3 linked regions of the Canis lupus familiaris genome follow. The protein of the gene in region 1 binds, or shares a complex with, the protein of each later gene. Links are inferred from orthologs where the notes say so. Each region holds a gene or a part of one and is shown in the gene's direction. Other genes may lie near its edges.

What was found.
Region 2: the proteins of USH1C (region 1) and MYO7A are in contact, whole or in part, in a crystal structure (PDB 5MV9), measured with the Homo sapiens proteins. The link is inferred for Canis lupus familiaris from reciprocal best matches to the Homo sapiens genes USH1C and MYO7A. Residues at the interface, in NP_001284693.1 of Homo sapiens: Glu450, Pro456, Ile457, Val461, Val462, Ser463, Tyr466, Glu467, Lys479, Gly480, Pro522, Tyr526, Asp527, Asp528, Glu529, Leu530, Thr531, Phe532, Phe533; in NP_000251.3 of Homo sapiens: Phe1946, Val1953, Ala1976, Lys1995, Lys1996, Trp1998, Gln2017, Pro2020, Lys2021, Arg2024, Tyr2026, Ser2112, Ala2113, Phe2114, Phe2115, Glu2116, Val2117, Lys2118, Ile2128, Ser2161, Gly2163, Asn2164, Thr2165, Tyr2166, His2168, Leu2181, Glu2183, Thr2184, Ser2185, Leu2186.
Region 3: USH1C (region 1) and CDHR5 share a complex: the UniProt entries of both Homo sapiens proteins name them as parts of the IMAC/intermicrovillar adhesion complex. The link is inferred for Canis lupus familiaris from reciprocal best matches to the Homo sapiens genes USH1C and CDHR5.

Annotation. Positions count from the first base shown.
Region 1 is NC_049242.1:40,722,513-40,728,113, reverse strand, and holds part of USH1C (harmonin), read left to right. Parts: intron 1-932; coding exon 933-974; intron 975-1,460; coding exon 1,461-1,514; intron 1,515-1,853; coding exon 1,854-1,953; intron 1,954-4,522; coding exon 4,523-4,629; intron 4,630-5,376; coding exon 5,377-5,379; intron 5,380-5,601. UniProt on the Homo sapiens protein: Anchoring/scaffolding protein that is a part of the functional network formed by USH1C, USH1G, CDH23 and MYO7A that mediates mechanotransduction in cochlear hair cells. Required for normal development and maintenance of cochlear hair cell bundles.
Region 2 is NC_049242.1:21,735,233-21,741,304, reverse strand, and holds the start of MYO7A (unconventional myosin-VIIa), read left to right. Parts: upstream 1-2,272; 5' UTR 2,273-2,518; intron 2,519-4,488; 5' UTR 4,489-4,534; coding exon 4,535-4,552; intron 4,553-6,072. UniProt on the Homo sapiens protein: Myosins are actin-based motor molecules with ATPase activity. Unconventional myosins serve in intracellular movements. Their highly divergent tails bind to membranous compartments, which are then moved relative to actin filaments.
Region 3 is NC_049239.1:26,065,410-26,071,607, reverse strand, and holds the start of CDHR5 (cadherin-related family member 5), read left to right. Parts: upstream 1-2,398; 5' UTR 2,399-2,464; coding exon 2,465-2,519; intron 2,520-2,612; coding exon 2,613-2,788; intron 2,789-3,070; coding exon 3,071-3,121; intron 3,122-4,277; coding exon 4,278-4,370; intron 4,371-4,482; coding exon 4,483-4,584; intron 4,585-4,694; coding exon 4,695-4,805; intron 4,806-4,879; coding exon 4,880-5,050; intron 5,051-5,400; coding exon 5,401-5,491; intron 5,492-5,623; coding exon 5,624-5,721; intron 5,722-5,798; coding exon 5,799-5,999; intron 6,000-6,072; coding exon 6,073-6,186; intron 6,187-6,198. UniProt on the Homo sapiens protein: Intermicrovillar adhesion molecule that forms, via its extracellular domain, calcium-dependent heterophilic complexes with CDHR2 on adjacent microvilli. Thereby, controls the packing of microvilli at the apical membrane of epithelial cells.

The DNA of each region.
Region 1 (5,601 bases):
TGGGTGCTGGGGATGGCTCTACTCAGTCCAGCAGGGCCTAGCTGGGACCCTGCCCCAGGGCCTCTGCTCTGCTCCCACCTGCCCTGGGGGACTAACAGAGGCTTTGTGGCCTAGGACTTGGCAGGCACGCCCCCCCCCCCCCTCCCGGCTCCCGCTGTCTGGTTGGGGTTCCTAGGAGGGCAGCGTGTGCTGGCTCTGCCCTCGCCTTCCTTACCACCTTGTTTCTGCATCCTGGGGATATTGTCCCCGCAGCCCTCACCAAGCCGGGTTCCCTGAGACAAGTCTCCTCCTTCATCCTCCCCCGACTGAGGTTCTGGGAGGCCTCTTACCTCCTAGATAGGTGCTACATTAGGACCAGTGCTGGGTACTGGGTGAGCACGGACGCCCCTGTTCCTCTGGGAGCCCGACATCCCTTTGCACCGCCCACGCCCTGCACCCCAGTCATCTCGCAGCAGGTTCCCCAGGGAGAGCTGCCTCTTGCACAGTGTTGCCCTTCTCCGGGGTCAAAGCACTGGGTGCAGAAAACCAGGCCTTCACCCCCAGAGCCTGGACCTGGCCTCGCACGAGCACTCGGAGGAGCTCAGGTAGGGCCTTCAGGACCCGAGGCTGCAGGCAGATGACAGCTCCGGCAAGGCCGCGGGCCGCTCAGACACCCGGACAGCAGCCGGCGCCCACCCCTGCCTCAACTACCCAGGGCCCGGGCTGGGCTCCGCAGATGCTTGCATAGCTTCCTGCTTCTCCCTGCGCAGGGGGCTCTGGCTCCTGGGGCTTCCAGCCTCCTCCCTGCTTCCCCCTCCAGGCCACACCTGGCCCCCTCCCCTCTCCCCTACATCTGACCCATTCATGCCTTTTTCCTCTGTCCTGAGCTTGTTTCCTGCAGCGACCCTCAGGGAACTCTACTCTGTGCCCTAACACACTCCCTTCGCTTCCAGGATTTCCGGAAATATGAGGAAGGCTTTGACCCCTACTCGATGGTGAGAGATCACTCTCCTCCCCAGGGCAGCAGTCCCGGGAATGTGGGGTCGAGGGGTGTGGTGTGTTCCGTGGTGGGGCAGGTGAGGAGCCCCAGGGAGCCCCAGCTGCTCTTTCCTGCAAAGGCGCCTTTCAAACCACATTCGAGTGTGAAACAGGACTGGAGTGTGTGTTGGGGCGCAGTGAGGGTGTAACAGCGGTCACACTGGCCAAGCACTGACTGTGTACCAGGTGCGTGTGGCTTGCTGGGTGCTTACAGGGCATGTCCTCACCCAGCCCTCACAATATTCTCAGAAAGAATGGATCTGGGATTTCTGTGGTCACCTGTGTGTGTGTGTGTGTCCAGGTGGCCCCTGTGAGGCCTGGGACCCCCAGGTGAAGACCGATGGGTGTGGGGCTGGGAAGGGTCCCCTTGGCCATGTACCCTGTGGGACCCCACCCTCATCCTCCAGGCAGACTCAAAGCTCCACACTGCCTGTTCCCTCTAGTTCACCCCGGAGCAGATCACAGGGAAGGATGTCCGGCTCCTGCGCATTAAGAAGGTACATGGGCACATGGAGGTCAGGCGGCCACCACCCTTCTCTGCCCCAGGCCCCTCCCATCTTGGTGCCCTGCCTCTACTCTGGAGATGACTCCTGAGTGACTCCTCAGGTCCCCACCCATCTACTCTCTCCCCCAAGGATGTCCCCTCCTGTGGTGGGAGCACACACTCAGGCCCCACTTAGTGTCCAGGCTCCCTTCCCTCCCTGATGGCGCTGTCATTGACCCCCATGGCTTCTCCTGCCCTCTTTGTAGCCCTGTCAGGAGGCTCCTGGGTACCCAGGTGTCCACAGGCTGTTGTCGTCTGCTTGGCTCTTGAAGGCCTGTTTTTGTCTAACCAGGAGGGATCGTTAGATCTGGCCCTGGAAGGCGGTGTGGACTCCCCGATCGGGAAGGTGGTCGTCTCGGCTGTGTATGAGGGGGGAGCTGCCGAGCGGCATGGTGAGTGGGGAACCAGCCATGCCCCAGTTTGGGGATGGTGCAGTGGTTGAACAGGGACCCCAGGAAAGCACACGGCTGCCCACTTGGAGTGGACTGACCGACAGTTGCTCAAGAATGCCCCCCATCTGGATCTGCCCATCCACCTGCTGAGCCCACACGTTACCCATGGGCATATGATGGTGCCAGGACTATGGGCGTACAGCCCACCGCACCCCACGCTGCCCTCTGCCCCTCCCCCCCATCCAGGGGTGAAAACATGCTCAGAATTGCCAGATTCCGGCTGTAACAGAGCAGTCTGCTAAGTGCTGACAGACGGCTGGGGGCACGGAGGAAAGTTGTGGGACCTCGAGGGCCCCTAACCCACCAAGGGAAAGGGGGCCACCGGGAAGGCTCCCGACAAGCACCATACCTGAGCTGAGCCATAGAAGATAAGTCAATGTGAGCCTCGTGACGGTGGGCAAGAACTCTCCATGCAAAGGCAGGAGAGAGGGCATGAAACCTTCCCTGTCCTCTAAATAATAAGGGCCGACGGCCGTCAGGAACTCGCCATGTGCCAGGTGTGATTCTAAGCGCCTGCACCTCCTCTGTGTCTAAGGGGTTCACGTGTGCTACTAGGTCACTTAATCCTTGCGACAGCACCAAGAGCAGGTGCTGTTACCACTCTCATCTTACAGCTTAGGACACCGAGGCCGTTCCGGGACCCACAGCCAGTTAGTGGTGGAGGCAGGACCTGAACCCAAGCACTCTGCTCATATTTTGCTTTACTTTTGCCTTAAACCTGCTCACCTGGCGAGACTGTCTGAGACTCCCCATTCGTGGTTTCTTCTTCCAAAGCTAGGAGCCTTTTCAGTATTCTGGGGTCTTTTGTGAGGAAATCAGTGGCCTCGAAGGGGGAGACTTGGGACCCTCAGCTTTCCAGGCCAGAGCAGGAGTCCCATGGTGCCAGGCTGTGGTCGGTCAGTAGGATGGAGGGCAGGTGAGCACCCGAGGCAGGAGGCGGAGTGACAGGGAGTCACCTGGTTGCTGGGCAGCCAGGCTTCTGTGAGCTCCAAAGGCCACAGAACTCGGCTGCCTGTGGCCCCGGTGAGCTCAGGCCTGCCTCTTGCAGCCACACTTTGAGCTGTCGCTTCAGCTGGGGGGCGGGGGGCCACTCAGCTGGCAGCTGCCGTGGCCCAGGGCTGCCCTCCCAGTCCACACCCTCCTCCTCTTCTGTCCTCACTTCACGCCAGTGGAGAGAAAGACACCTGTCAGCTGGGTCTGGCAGGGAAGGAGGACCAGAATACTTTCCCGGGAGCCTCCCCTCCTTTCAAAGCCCCAGCCCAACCACTGCCTTATTGCTCCTGACGCTCCATCCTGAGTCCCTGCAAAAGGAAAAAGTGAGAGTCGCCTCTCCACAGGCCCACGGGCCAGAGGAAACTGCTGTCTACAGTCTGGCCCCACACTGCTTTGGACAAACCAGCAGCTGGTGACATTTTCTCCAAGAGCACACGTGCTTTAAGCCACTGCCACACCATCTTCAGTAACACACACTATGTTCCCGTGGCCTTCCTGCCAGCAAGACTTCTGGGTGATCTGTTTCAACGTAATGTAGAGAATGTGCTGTGGACACCAGAACTAAGAAAAAGTCCTTAAAAAGAACATTTTTTATAAGGTTCTGAAGTTGAAGATGTCTGAGAAACCAAGCACAATCTATGCACTTCTTGGAGGGCCACAATGCATGGTAGCATATTCAAGGCTCTGACAAGTCCTGCAGTGAGTAACTCTGCTTAACTTGTAACTTGGCTTTTCCCGAATTTATTAGACCACAGGTCAGCTTATCCAGGAAGACCTTTAACATCATTCACTTATTCGAGAACTATATCGAATTCCTGTTTTGTGCTAGGTATTATGGTAAGTGCTGTGGGAATGGTGATCAACCAAAGACAAGGTCCCTACTCTCATGGAGCTGAGAATCTGGTGGGAGAGACCATCCATCAACAAATAGATGTAGGATTACAAATTGTGAAAATGCTCTGCAGGAAGAGACTGGGATACTTTGAGGGAACAATAGGAAAGACGTCAAGATTGGACGCAGGTCAGAGCAGTTCCCTCTGAGGAGGAGACGTTTCACCTGAGCCCTACAAGGAAAGAAGAAAGAGACGGGGACAGTTGGCCCAGCTGGAACAGCATGTGAAGGCTCTGGCGTGGGAAAGAGCCTGACGCAGACAGGAACAGCTCACAGAACTAGCTCATGTTTCTGATAACCTCATGGGCCCCTCAGGTCTGCCTCCCTCCGTGATAGCAGAGGCCCATACAAAGGTTAGGGCGGCAATGGTTTGTCACTGGTGTCCTGATTCTATTGAGTCGGGGTGAAGGAGTGTGGACGGGGTGGGTAGGAAATGCCCTTGAGTAACCTGGTGGATTGTTTTCCCCTCATGCCTTCCGAGCCCATCTCAGAATCCAGGAGTCAAGCTCCTGTAGCCCTACAGTGGCCTCCTGTCCACCCCGCCTCCCACCGCCTTTGCCAAGTCCTGGGCCAGGCACGCGTCACATATGGCCCAGGTGACCAGCCAGCCTTATCTTTCTGCAGGTGGCATTGTGAAGGGGGATGAGGTCATGGCGATCAACGGCAAGATCGTGACGGACTACACCCTGGCTGAGGCTGAGGCCACCCTGCAGAAGGCCTGGAGTCAGGGGGTAAGAGCAAACCCCTTCCCGGCCTCCCTCCCCTGCTTGCCTCCCTGCCTTAAACCCTGGCCTCTGCAGCCAGGCCTTACAGTGAGGATGCCCCATCCCAGGGCGGGGATCCAGGGGCCAGGAAATTCTTAGGTGACATCCACATAACCCATCCAGCCAGTGGTCTCAATATGACACGATGGGATTCAGAAAAATAAATGTCAGTTCCTGACTTTGAGTCCAAAAAGCAAGTGGCACAAATATAGACTCCAGAAGACCAGGTATGGCAACCCATGCAAGAAAAAAGACTTAAGGTCTTCTCTAAGTGCACACTGATCAGGAATCAAAAATGCTGTGGCTACTAGAAAGCATTAATAGAACAAGTGCCCAAAATGGAGGAGGGTCTGGTGGTAGTCTGATCTGTGCTCATTAGCCACTTGGGTCAAGGCCACCACATAAGGTCTCCCAGGCTCTGTACTGCACAATCCGAGGGGATACCCTCCTATAGACTACAGTGTGGATAGTGCCCTCTCATGTTGTGCAATGCACAACCTGTGCAACTGTACGCAGGCAGCCGAGCCTGAGGTATTAAGTTCAGTGCCGAGGAAGCTGACCAGATGGGCCTGGGACCCACATGAAGGGATGTGGAGAAGAGAAGACTCACGGGTAACCTGATGACTGTCTTTGATTATCTGAAGGGCTGTATTAGGGTAGAGGGAGCAGAAGTGTTCTCTGTGTTTCTTGAGGGCAGAACTGGATTGGATGGAGGGAGTCCTGGGGTGAGCTTTCAGCTCAGTGTTAGAAGCTATTGCATGGGAGAGGGGCCCAGTGATATTTCACATACTTTTTATTGGGTACACCTAAGCCAAGGGTGGACAATGATAGATAAGCCAAGGATGGCAATGGTGCCATTGAGGGGATTCAAGTGTCAGGGTCAGAAAGCTAAGCCTGAAGTGCACCTAGAGAGTTTGTTACAAATACTATTTCTCAGGA
Region 2 (6,072 bases), about 19 Mb from region 1:
ATGGAGTTCCAGGATGGGACTAGAGGGTGGGGTGGGGAGAGCAATCGCTCTGCTCCCCTGATGCACCCTTTAGCTCAAGGGGGCCTCAGAGTCCCCATTTGCAGCTGGGCAGGACTTCCGGTCCATACCACTCAGATGTGGACTCCACTCCCCTCAGGGCCTCTTGTGGGGTCAGGACTGGAGACCTGCTATGTTCTCAGAATAAACATTACCACAATCCCAGAAAGCCTTTCTGGTATTTGTCCCTCTGGGGGTAAGGGACAATGGAGTCCCAGGCTTAGGTGACTGTCCTCTGGTCAAGAGGCATGTGAGGGAGGGCTTGGGAGTTCCAGCTGAGGCTGGGCTCTGCTTCCCACCTGGTGCATCTGTGGGCAGAGGTCACAGGGATCATTCCATCATTCCTTCAGCTGGCCTTGTCCCAAGCCCCGTCTCAGGTACTGGGGATGCGGGGAGCCAGCCACAGTCACATCTGTGGGGCAGCCCACAAATGGGTTGGAGAAGAGGCAGGGAGGCCAGTGGAAACATTGATCCTAACAAACACCATGCAGGGAGTGGCTAGAAAGCCAGTGTGGGTTCTGGGGGCTTCCAGCCTGCCTGGGAGGGAAGGTCCAGTCCATGCCCTTGGTACAGGTGGGCAGTGGAGGGAGGGAGGCAGCCAGGAAGAGGAGCTGGGTTTGTGGGAGGCCAGAGTGGAGGGTGTTGGGAGGAAGATGCTGGCAGCTCCAGTCAGGAAGCTGGGGAGAAAGGGTGCACAGATTTTGGAGGTAGAGTGGACAGACTTCAGTGATGATTGGGTTGGGGTGAGGGATGAGGGAGAAGGGAAAATGAATGAAGGCCAATTTGTAGGTTTCTCCATAGGACCATGAGCAAAGGATGTTATGAATTGCTGAGCCGTGCTTAGCATAGTACATGACTGGATGCTGAGTAAATTGTTGCTATCGTGGCATCCAGAGGTCACTGAGGACCTCTTCACTCCCTACCACTCTAGGGCCATCCTCACAAACCAGGCCCGCATTCCACCTCTGTGTTCCTCTTGGGGTCTCAGTTTTCCAGTAGATGCAGGCCGCCACCAGCCTGGGAGGCTCAGCAAGGGAGGTGATTGGAAGAGTGGTAGGTAGCCAAGTGTCGGTGGCAGGCACTAGCCTTGAAGGGAGGATGGTGCCCCGGAGCAGCCCCTGGGGGGCTCAGGAAGGTCGAGTCCGAGTCAGGGCACTGTTGCTTCCACCTGCTGCTCCAGGCAGAGGCTGGAGGCTCAGCCTTGCTACTGTGGGGGCTCTGGAGGGCAGCTGTGCTGGTGCCCAGCAGGTGGCACACTTGAGCCTCCTACCCCATTCTTTGGTTGGGGGGCGGGGGGCGGGGGTGGGGTGGGGGAGGAAAGCGGCTAACCTCTTCCCTGCAGACCCACCTCAGTTCAGAGGCTGGGGATCCAAGAGTACTCCCCTCTGCTCAGGCCAAAGTTCCCCTAGCGAGGCTTGCACTGATGGGGCAGCTGCCGGGTGGCAGGAGGCAAAGGGTGGTGACAAGAGGTCTCAGCAAGGAGTCTGCAACATTATTGTCTTTGCCAATGCCAAGGACGCTCGGTGTACTCCTCCTGTTTACGCCCCACCCCACACTTTTAAATCACACTATTTCACTTCAATTCATATGTTTTCCTGGTACAGGCAGGGTTGCTCCAAATCAGTTGGTTTGGGAAAGTTTCCTGGATGATTATGGACAACACCTGTGACCGCCCTCCCCCCCCCCCCCCCCCCCCCCCCCCCGCCCGCGGCAACCCGCAACCAGAACAGTGTTGATGGCGAAGAGCTTCAGAGGCACTTCTGAGGGGAGTTCTTAGGAGGTGGGCTGGGGAGAGGGGGCCAGCAGTGGGGCTTGCTACCCCCCGCCCGGCCCTGCCCTGCCAGGTCGGCTCCTCTCAGGAGTGCCAAGCAGGCGTTTACGGAGAACACGGCCTTGGTGGACGCGGCAGATGCCGAGACTCAGCAAATCTGTGACCCGGTCGGGATCAGGAGGTTCCCCGCCCACGTGCCGGGAGCAGGTGGCCTTATTACATATAATAGGCAGGGGAAGCTGGGGGAGGCGGTGTCCAGTCCCGCTGCTCAGCAGCACGCCCGGGGACCCGGGGCCCTGCCTCCACTGCGCGCCGGCCCCAGCGCAGGGCCCTGAGCAGCACAGCCGGCCTCCCTCCGCGCTGATGTCACCGCACCCGGACCTTGGAGGCCCCTCTGACTCCGCCTCCTGAGGGAAGGCTCTGGAGTGGCGAGCGGGGAGGGCAGCGGTGCGGCTGGACAGCTGCCCTGGCCGGGAAAGAGAGGGAGAGGCGGAGAGGGAGACAGTCACACAGGGAAGAAGTGACATCCAAAGAGAGCCCCAGACTGCCGAGCCCCGGAGTGAGACAGAGGAAGAGGGGACGTGTGTCTGCAGACTGTCCCAGACGCGTGACCCCAGCTCTGAGCCCTTCGTGCAGGTGGCAGCTGCATCCAGTCTGGTGGGCAGCTGAGCGTGGGGAGCTGGGACCCCGGTAAGCACGGGCTGCCCGCTCTCCTGGGCTCTCTGGGAGAAGGGCTGCGGGACGTCTGGGGGTATCAGGGGCTTGGGCCACCTGGGAGCCATGTGCTCCTGGTCGGGGGCCCAGCCACAGCAGCCACTGAATGAAATTGTCCTGAGCCTGGGCAGATGGAGGCTTGTCGCCTGGACAAGAGAAGAGTCAAGGGGCATGGCGTCATTGAATGGTCTCTGACCAGGCCTGGGGCAGGGGCGCAAACGTGCTGGGCTGGCAACTGGGGGGCGGGGGGCGGGGGGGAGAGACACTCTTTTGGCCTCTGACACTCTTCCTTGACCTCTCTCTCTCTCTCTCTTTCTCTCTTTCTCTTTGGTAAGTGACTTCCTTCCTCTGTGCCTCAAATTTTCCATCTGTGAAATGGGAATAGGAAGCCCCCACCCCAACCCAGGGTTGTTGTGGAGACCAGGTAAAGTCAGGCATGGGCATAGACATGCAAACACAGTTTTGCTTTCCCTATTGTCAATTTGAAAAGCAATGGACTTAACAGAGACTAGTTCTCATTTTGAGGAAAAAGTTTATCTCGTAGCTTTTTTCTTACAAGAAAAAAAAAAAAGCTTACAAGAAAAATTTAATGTGGCCATTAAATTCCAAGCTTTTACCACCCCATCCACCCTCCAGGGCCCTGAAAGCCCTGGCTCTTTGCGGCCTCTGAGGCTCACGCTGGTGCAGGAGGGCAGCACCACCAGCGCTGGTGACTTGCCTTCCCGGCCGGCCAGTCTGGCACGGTCTCCAGAAGAACTGCACGCCTGCTGCGTTCCGGAGCTCCGGGGCAGGGGTCAGGGCTCAGGTGTCAGGCAGCGTCCTGGACAGAGGATCAAATGCCCCGGCGCCTCTGAATGGCCCTTGTGAAAAATTGATGCTCACCCTGGGGGGCAGGTTAGGGGGCATGGGGGCCCCCCACTGGGGCCTGTGGGCTCTGGCCACCTTGGATCACCACACTCGATTCCCACAGTTCCTTCCTGAGCAATCTCTGGGCCTGGCCCTGTACCGTGTGAGGTAGTGGCTCAGCCCCACCTCCTTGCTCTGGATTAACTCCCCAACTTTGGAGGGGGCAGACGTGGGGACAGACCCTGACCTGACAACATAATGCATATAGTCAGGGCTGGATAGACAGAAACATCAGGACTCTTGGCAGCCTAGGGGTGGTCAGGGAGGGCTTCCTGGAGAAGGCACTGTCTGAACTGAGCCATAAAGTAGAGGTGGGAATTTGCTAGTCAGCATTCCAGGTAGAAGAGTCAATGTATGCAAAAGCCAGGAGGTATGAAAAGAGGTGGCATGTTTCAGGAGTCATGAGTGCTGAGAATGGTGTATGTGCAGGGAGAGGTGAGGAAGGAACCCAGAAAGCAGTGGGAGAAAAGACTAAGACATTAGCAGGAGCCACAAGGTACTGGGCCTTCAAAGCCAGCCTGAAAGCAGAGGGTGCTCTGTGGAAGGGTTTGAGGCAGGGCATGCCATGAGCAGGTCCTGCTCAGCCTGTGCCCCCTCCTCTTGGGCCTGGCTGCTGCTGTCACCCTAGCTCCTTGGGCAGACCTGAGCAGGTGGGGGAGGCCAGAAATCAGGTCCCGATCCTGAACCTGTCTTGCTCTGCTTTGCGACTTTGGCAAGCCTTGGTCCATCTCTGGGTCCCTTTGCCCTTATGTCCAGGCGAGGGGGCTGGACTTGCTACTTCCTAGGAGCCCTTTAGAAATCTCTGAATGACCGTAACCAGGAGAAGAGCTCAGCTGCTCTGGGCAGTAGAGCTGGTGACTGTGGCTGAGGCTCAGGTCACGCAGGCTGGGCTGTGGCCAGAGGGAGAGTAGCCAGGGAGGGAGGGTTCCCCAGAGGGAGGAGTGGCTGAGACTTTGGGAAGAGCCCAGGTGACTCCAGCCAGGCTCATGGCTGCCAGGGTGGGCCTGACCAGAGGCTTCACATGGTCTCTCCCCCTGCAGAACCACATCTGGCCAGGCGGGAAGCAAGAGCATCTGAGGAAGAACAATGGTGATTCTTCAACAGGTGAGTGCTCTCTGCACCCCACTGGCCTTCATCTTTCTATTGCCAGGAAGAACTCTGTTGGGTGGCTCATCCTGCCCCATCTCACATTCATCTGGTTAAATCACAGGACACCTGCCCCAGTACTTTTTTATTTTTTATTTTTTCTAATATTTTATTTTATTTATTCATGACAGACAGAGAGAGGCGGGCAGAGACACAGGCAGAGGGAGAAGCAGGCTCCATGCAGGGAGCCCGACATGGGACTCGATCCTGGGTCTCCAGAATCATACCCCAGGCTGAAGGCAGTGCTAAACCGCTGAGTCATTGGGGCTGCCCTGCCCCAGTACTTTTAGAAATCACCTATTTATGCTTAAAACTTGCTGTGAAAATTTCCCTGTCTCTCTCAGGCCCAGTCTAGAACTGCTCCCTCTGATGTGTCTCCTGGGGCCTTCCTTTCTCACTGCACTCATCCCACTGGGTAGAAATTATTTATTTACATGCATCTCTGAATCCTCAGGCATTCCACAAAGTAGAACACGTGCAAGGCCCCAACGTGGGGCAGCCTTTGGGGACAGGGAATAAGAAGTTGGTCAGTCTAATGAAGCCAGACCAGGACAGGCCTTGAGCCTGGCACGGGAGCAGTGAGTGGCGGATGACCTGGTTGGAGCTGCAGCCTCCTAGGGTAGTACGGGAAAGAAGCAGAGGTACTGGCCCCGGCTGAGTCCTCTAGCCGCCTCCTTCCTTCTTGGGGCCACCATGGCCCCTGACCCTCAGCCCTTCCCCGTGATCAGCCTGAGGCTCTAATGAGCTCCTGGTCTCCAGAGCCAGGAATGTGGGCCCAAAGCCAGGTCAGCTTGGCACCAAGCCCTAGGGCTGGTGGGGATGTGTGCTGTGGGGACCTTGCCAGCAGCTTCATAGCCTCCAGACCCATCAGAGGCCAGTGGGCAGCCTTGTTCTGCAGCTGTGTGTGTGTGAGAGCCAGAGAGAGACAGAGACAGAGAGGAAGCAGGCTTCAGGCAGGGCAGGATCAGAATAGACAGTTTTCTATCCCAGAGTGAGGAGACCCCCCCCCCCCAAGAGCCCCTCGGCCTGGCCTGACACCTTGTTCAAAGCCCCGCCAGAGGCAGCTGAGCCAAGGGAAGGAAAGTTGCTGTCCTGGAGCATCTGCTCTGTGCAGGGGCTTTGGCTGCAGGCAGGGCTGGGTGGGTGGGGGCATTCATGGCCCCCAGAGGGGCAGCCTGGGCCACCCATAGCCCCCACGGGGTTTCCCCACAGGAAGCTATGAGGCCTCCCTTGCCCTCTCTGAACCGGCCCTCCTCACCCTGTGGGTAAACGCAGGCTCTGCCCACCCCTCACACAGCAAGGACACTTCTGTTACTGCTTTGCTCCTGGGAAAGGCCCCAGCTGGGGGGGGAGGGGGAGCCAGCCAGCTATGCAGCTCTAAGACAGAGCCCGCACCCCTGGGCTCTGGCTGGGCTTCATTTTTGATGAGTGGGCAGATGTGGGCATGTTCTTCAGCCTTCTTGAGCCTCTGTTTCCTC
Region 3 (6,198 bases), on another chromosome or scaffold:
GGGCCGACAGCTGCGGGGGCGGCCCTGACCTTCCCGGCGATCGATGCGGCGCGGCCTGGCCGCGCGGAGCCGGGGCGGGGGAGCCGGGCGGGGAGCCGGGGCGGTGCTCCCCCCTACCCCGGGCGCTATAAAGGGGCCGCGCTCGCTCCGGGCGCCGCCGCCTCCGCTCCCCGCGCCCACCGCCGCCCACCATGGCCCTCCCGGCCCCGCCGCTGCTGCTGCTGCTGCTGGCGCTGCTGCCCCGGGGCCCCGCCGCGCTCCCCGCGCCCCGCAGGTGAGCCCCGGGCCGGACCCGCCCCGCCTCGCCCCGCCCCGCCCCCGCCCCCGCCCGGCCCCGACGGCCCTGACCGCCCCTCGCCCCTCTGCCCCTCCGCCCCTCGCCCCTGCACCTCTCGCCCCTCCGCCCCTCGCATCTCGCTCCTCCGTCCCTCCGCCCCGCGCCCCTCCGTCCCTCCTCCCCTCGCCCCTCCGCCCCTCGCCCCTCCTCCCCTCGCCCCTCGTCCCTCCGCCCCTCGCCCCTCCTCCCCTCCGCCCCTCCTCCCCTCCGCCCCTCGCCCCTCCTCCCCTTCGCCCCTCCGCCCCTTCACCCCTCCGCCCCTCGCCCCTCCGCCCCTCGCCCCTCCGTCCCTCCGCAGGGCCCCGCGGCACTCGGACGGCACGTTCACCAGCGAGCTCAGCCGCCTGCGGGAGAGCGCCCGGCTGCAGCGGCTGCTCCAGGGGCTGGTGGGGAAGCGCAGGTGAGGGCGGGGCGGGGACGGGGCGGGGGGGGGGTGGTGCTGGGACCGGGTCGGAGGGCGCCTGGCTGGGGCAGCCCCAGGACTAACGCTGGTCGGGGCGGGGGGCAGCGAGCAGGACGCAGAGAACAGCACGAGCTGGACCACGGCCCCCGACGGCCGCCTGTGCCTGCGCTGGCCCGACTCGCCCGCCCTGCGCGCCTGGTGAGCACCGGCCCTGGGCCCGGGGGGCGCGGAGGTGAGGGGCGCTGGTGACCCGGAGGCCAGCTTCTCGCTCCCGCCTCACCCGCTGTGTCCACAGGGTGCCCCTGAGGGACCCCCTGGATCAGGCCTGGGCTCCCCAGCCGCCTCCCGGAACCGGGTCTGGGGCCTCGTTTTCGGAGCCGGCCATCCCTGCTGCCCAGGTGACACGGAGGAGGCCTTGAGGAAGAAGGGACCTGCCGCGGCAGCCGCCACGGCCGCCGCCCGGAGCCGACTGGGGCCTGGACGGGAGGGGGCAGGGGACGGGTTGTAACTGTCACCAATAAAGAGGAATTCAGACGGTGGCCCTCTGAGCTCCCTCTGCGCCGTCCCCCAGGGCGGGGCTGGCGGCACCAGGCGACCACAGGCTCCAGGACTGTGGCCACACCCAGTGCCCTTTACACCTGGGAGCCTGTGGGGCGCCTCACCTCCCTTCTGTCTCCTGTCCTGTCACCTGAGCTCCCCAGAGACCCATCCGGATCCCTGCCAGCTACTCAGCAAACATTCAGGGGCTCTGGGGGGGCACAGGACACCTGCCCTGGAGGCCCCTTGTCACAGTGCCAGCCGGTGGGAGGACCTGGGGGGCAAGGAGGCTCAGGCCGGGCAGGAAGAGGTGACGGGCATGGGTGCCACCAGGGGCCCAGGAGTGCACCCCAGGGGGAGGCTGTGAGCCTGGCTCCTGCTCCCGGCTGTGTGGTCTGAGCCTGTGCAGAGGGGGATGACACCCCAGGGGAGCCACGGAGGCGGTGCTGACACAGGAAGGGATGAGGCCAGGAGCCAAGGGCGAGGAAGCAGAAGGGCCACACCCCCTACTGTCCCTGCGTGGGGGGGGCCTCTCCCCTGCTGCCTTGGGCTTGGGGGCCCTTGGGGTAGGGCGGCAGGGGCCAGGGCCCAGGAGCCTGCCAGGGACCCCTGAAGACCCGGGCTCCCCCCGCCCCGAGCTCCCAGCAGCCTCCAGAAACACTGCCGCCCCCACCCCTGCCCTTGGAGGAAGTGGGGTGTTTCCAGCACAGGCAGGGGCGACCCCAGGACACAGACTGTGCAGGGAGGGGAGGTGGGCTTGGAGGGAACACCCGGGGTCTGACTTGGCTCCAAGATGATTCTGGAAGGAGAGCCCAGCGAAGGGGCGGCCGGGGCTAGGGGGACGGGTGGGTACAGCAGACACGGGAGCCAGGCCTGGGCCCCCAACCCCTGCCCCGGCTGCGCCCACCCAGCACGACCCGGGCCCTGCGCAGGCCCATGGAGCCCTGAGCCGGGAGCCCCCGTGGCCATGGCCCCCGCACGTGGCCCAGGGCTGGTGGGCAACCACGGGACGCCCCCTCCGGGCAGCTGGCCAGGCCTGGGCGGCGGCCGGCGAAAGCCCCCCTGCTGGAGGCCGAGGCCTGTAAAGGATCACACTGTGGGGCGGTGCCTGGTGGGGCAAAGGTCGCCCGCTGAGCCGCCACCCGGCAGCCAGCTGCGCACAGGGTCGAGCAGCGCGGCCCACGGAGATGGGGGCTTGGGCCCTGCTGCTGCCGCTGCTGGTGGCCACGGCACGGGCCCAGGGTAGCTGCGGGGCGGCGGGGGCAGTTGGGGCGGCGGGGGGGGTGCAGGGGCGGGGGGGTGGGGGGCACTGAGCCTTCCCTTCCTGCTCTCCAGTCTGCGCCGTAAGCAACAACATCTTCGAGGTCCAGGAGAACACGATTCAGAGCGGGCCCCTGGCTCACATCGACGTCCCCGCGGGCCAGCAGGTGACCCTCGGGTCGTCGTCCACTCCCTTCGCCTTTCGGATCCAGGGGACTGAGCTGTTTCTCAACGTGACTCCTGACTATGAGGTGCAGACGGGGGGCCGGGTGGGGCCCCACACAGGGCAGCTGAGTGGCGGGCGCGCTCCTCGGACCGGGGCTGTCCCAGGCTCGGGGTCCGTCTGCTCGGGGTCCGTCTGCGCTTCGCTGGCCGCCCCGCCCCCGCATCATCCACGGACCCCTCTGGGGCCTCCAGGCTTGGTGATGCCCTGGCCCCAAGGGGCATAGGGCCATTAGGGGCTGGAGCTGCCCCTGGACTTAGCGTGGACGCTGGGGACCCTGGTGACCACCCGGCCCCCGTCTGCCCCCCAGGAGAACACCCTGCTGGAGGCGCACCTGGAGTGCAAGAGTGGCAACACCGTGGTGAGTACCCCCATCCCCTGCCTCTGGGTCGCCGCCCCCACCCTATGACATCACAGCTCTTGGGCTTGGACCTCTGCACTCTGTTCTGACTGGTCCAGGGCCCCGCCCTGGGGACCTCACCCTGTGCGGTTTACAAGTGTCGCTCCTGGGCTGGCGCCCCCACTTCCTCCCGCCCAGACTGCCCCGAGGTGCAGACCCCCCAGCACAGAGGCACCTTGCCCAACCGGTTCCCTCGCCCCCACCCCCTCCCCACACCTCTCTCCATCGGCAAGTCCGTGAGCTCTGCCTGAAGCTGGACTCCAGACCAACCAGGGCCTTGGCCACCAGCATCTCCCTTCCGGAAACTTGGAGCTGGCTGCTTGCTCCCCTCCCGGCCTCAGCCAGTCCAGTCTCAGTGTGGCAGGACCATCGGGCCCAGCCAGCGGCGCATCCCCGCCCGGCGCCCCGGCTGCTCTCCCGCTCAGAGGCAAGGCTGAATGCCCCGGGCAGCGGGCAGCGCCAGGTGCCCCAGCCCGAGGCCGCTCCAGCTGCCCTTGAGCCCTCTCCCCAGACGCGCACCTGCCTCCCGCTGTCGCCCCTCGGCCTTCGCTCCAGGACCACCTTCTCAAGGGGCCCCTGACCACTCTGTCCTGAGCTGCAAGCCCGGCCCCCACGCACCTGTCGGCTTGCCCACGGTCCCCGGTCCTTCCGATTTTGTCATTATCTGCAAAGGGACTCGTGGGCATCATGTGACCCCCGATGCCCGCCCTCCCCACAGTCACGGAGCCGCCAGCAAGGCCCACCCAGCGAGGCCGCCGGCTACTTCTCTCTAGCATCTGCCCCTCCGGCCCTTCCTCTCTAGTGTGTTTATTGAAGCAATCTCTCCCCTCAACGTGGGCCTGAACTCCCACCCCGAGATCAAGAGTCGCCCCCTCCTCCCACTGAGCCAGCCGGGTGCCCCTCCCGAGCCTCTTTCAACATATGGGTTCCCCTTCCTCTCTTCCTTTCTCCTCGGGAATTATTTTTGAAGCGATTTGCTCATTTCGCCGTGGTTCTCACCTGGGATTGGCGGTGCCCCAGCCCGGCCGGTAGCCAAGTCCTTTGCCCGGGCACCTGCCGTCCCCGGGCTCGCGGCGGCCCGTGTGTGATGCAGGGTGCTCAGGCCGTGTCCCCGCAGGTGACCCAGCTGAGGGTGATTGTGTTTGTGCTGGACGTCAACGACAACCCACCCAAGTTCCCCTTTAAACTCCGGGTGGAGGACGTGCCCGAGGTGAGAGCCGGGGGGCGGGGGGCGAGGGGCCGGAGAGCAGGGCTAGTGGCCTGGGCCTTGGCCTGGGGGACCAGGGGTCGAGGGTGTAGACACCACTCCCCTCCATCCCCAGGACAGTAAAGTGAACACCACTGTCATCCCTGAGACGGAACTGGAGGCTCAAGATCCCGACAAGGATGACGTCTTGTTCTACACCCTCCAAGAGGTGACCCCGGTCAGTGTCCCCGACCCCCACGCCAACTCTGAACCCTCCCGTCGGGCAGCCCCTCTCCATGTTCCCCAGGGTCTCAGGCTGAGTCGCACCCGCCCCCCCCACCTCCCCAGGGTGCTGGTAGCTTCTTCTCCTTGCTGGGCACCAACCTGCCCGCCCTGCGGCTGGACCGGCCCCTGGACTTCTACAAGTGGCAGAACATGAGCCTCCTGCTGCTGGTGCGGGTGAGCAGGCCGGGACACCCCCCCGCTGCCCCCAGCCCCCGCTCGCAGGCCTGACCCCCGCTGCGCTCCCACAGGACACACAGGAGGAGAACGCCCAGCCCAGCCACACAGCCACGGCCACCCTGGTCCTGGACGTGCGGCCCGCCGACCTCCGGCCCCCCTGGTTCCTGCCCTGCGCCTATTCAGACCTTTACGTCTGCATCAACGCCGAGTACCAGGGGGCCATCCCCACAGGCCACAGACTGGTACTGGGGGTGGGGGGGCGGGGGGTGTGTGGGCTTGGGGCCCTGCGGCCGGGCCAGAACCCCTGGGGACCCGCTGAAGTGGGCCGCCCGCCACAAGAGGCACCCCAAGGCGCCGGGGGCAGCGGGGCAGACGCGGGCTCTAGGCCCCCATGGTACCGAGCACGTGTACCGAGTGCAGCCTCGGTGTGACTGCTCCCTGTCCCTCCTGGGGCCGCCATCGCTCAGATCAATCCGAGGTCTTTGCACAAATTCACCCCCACGGGGCGTGCTCAGCAGCCGTGTGGGGAACGGGGGCTGCGCTGGGCCCCGCTCAGCGGCCCCAGGTGTCTCCCCTGTCCCTGCTCCTGCAGCCAGCCCCCCTTGTCCTGCGTCCCGGGCCCATCTATGCCGTGGACGGGGATCGGGGCGTCAACCAGCGTGTCCTCTACAGCATCGTGACAGGTGAGTGCGCGCTGGAGCCCTGCCTCTGCATCCTGGACCTGGGGGGACTTGCCCGTGGGCAGAGCCAGCGGGGGCCCCAGACCTCAGACCCCTGGACGGAGCGAGAGGCCTCACCTCCCCCCATCTTCGCAGGACAAGACGACGGCACATTTGCCATCGACGCCAACTCGGGCAACCTCACCATGACCAGGAGCGTTCCCAGCCCAAAGACCTTCACGCTGCTGGTCAAGGTGGGCGCCCTGGCCAGGCCTCCATGGGGCCGGGGCTTTGAGGACCTGCTTGTCGCTGAGGCCTCCCCCACCCCCAGGGTGAGCAGTCAGACGGCGCCCGCTACTCGGTGACCTGGGTCACGATCGAGGCCCGAAGTGCCACTGGCAGCGTGCCCCAGTTCCCGCAGAGCCGCTACTATGGCACCGTGGCGCTCAACTCTGCAGTGGGCGTGGAGATCCGAGACACAGCCAGCCCCTCCCTGCCTCTGAGGGTCTGGGCTCAGGACCCCGACTTTCCGGTAGGCACCAGGCCCTCTGTGGGGGGGGAGTCGGGGGGCAGCCTGGGCCCAGGGCTCACTGCGCAGTGTCCAGGACCTCAACTCCGCCATCACGTATCGCATCACCAATAACACCAAATTCCGGATGGATGGCGAGATCGTGCGGACCGCCGCCCAGCTGACCCAAAAGGGGGTCTCCTATGCAGAGGTAAGGGTGGGG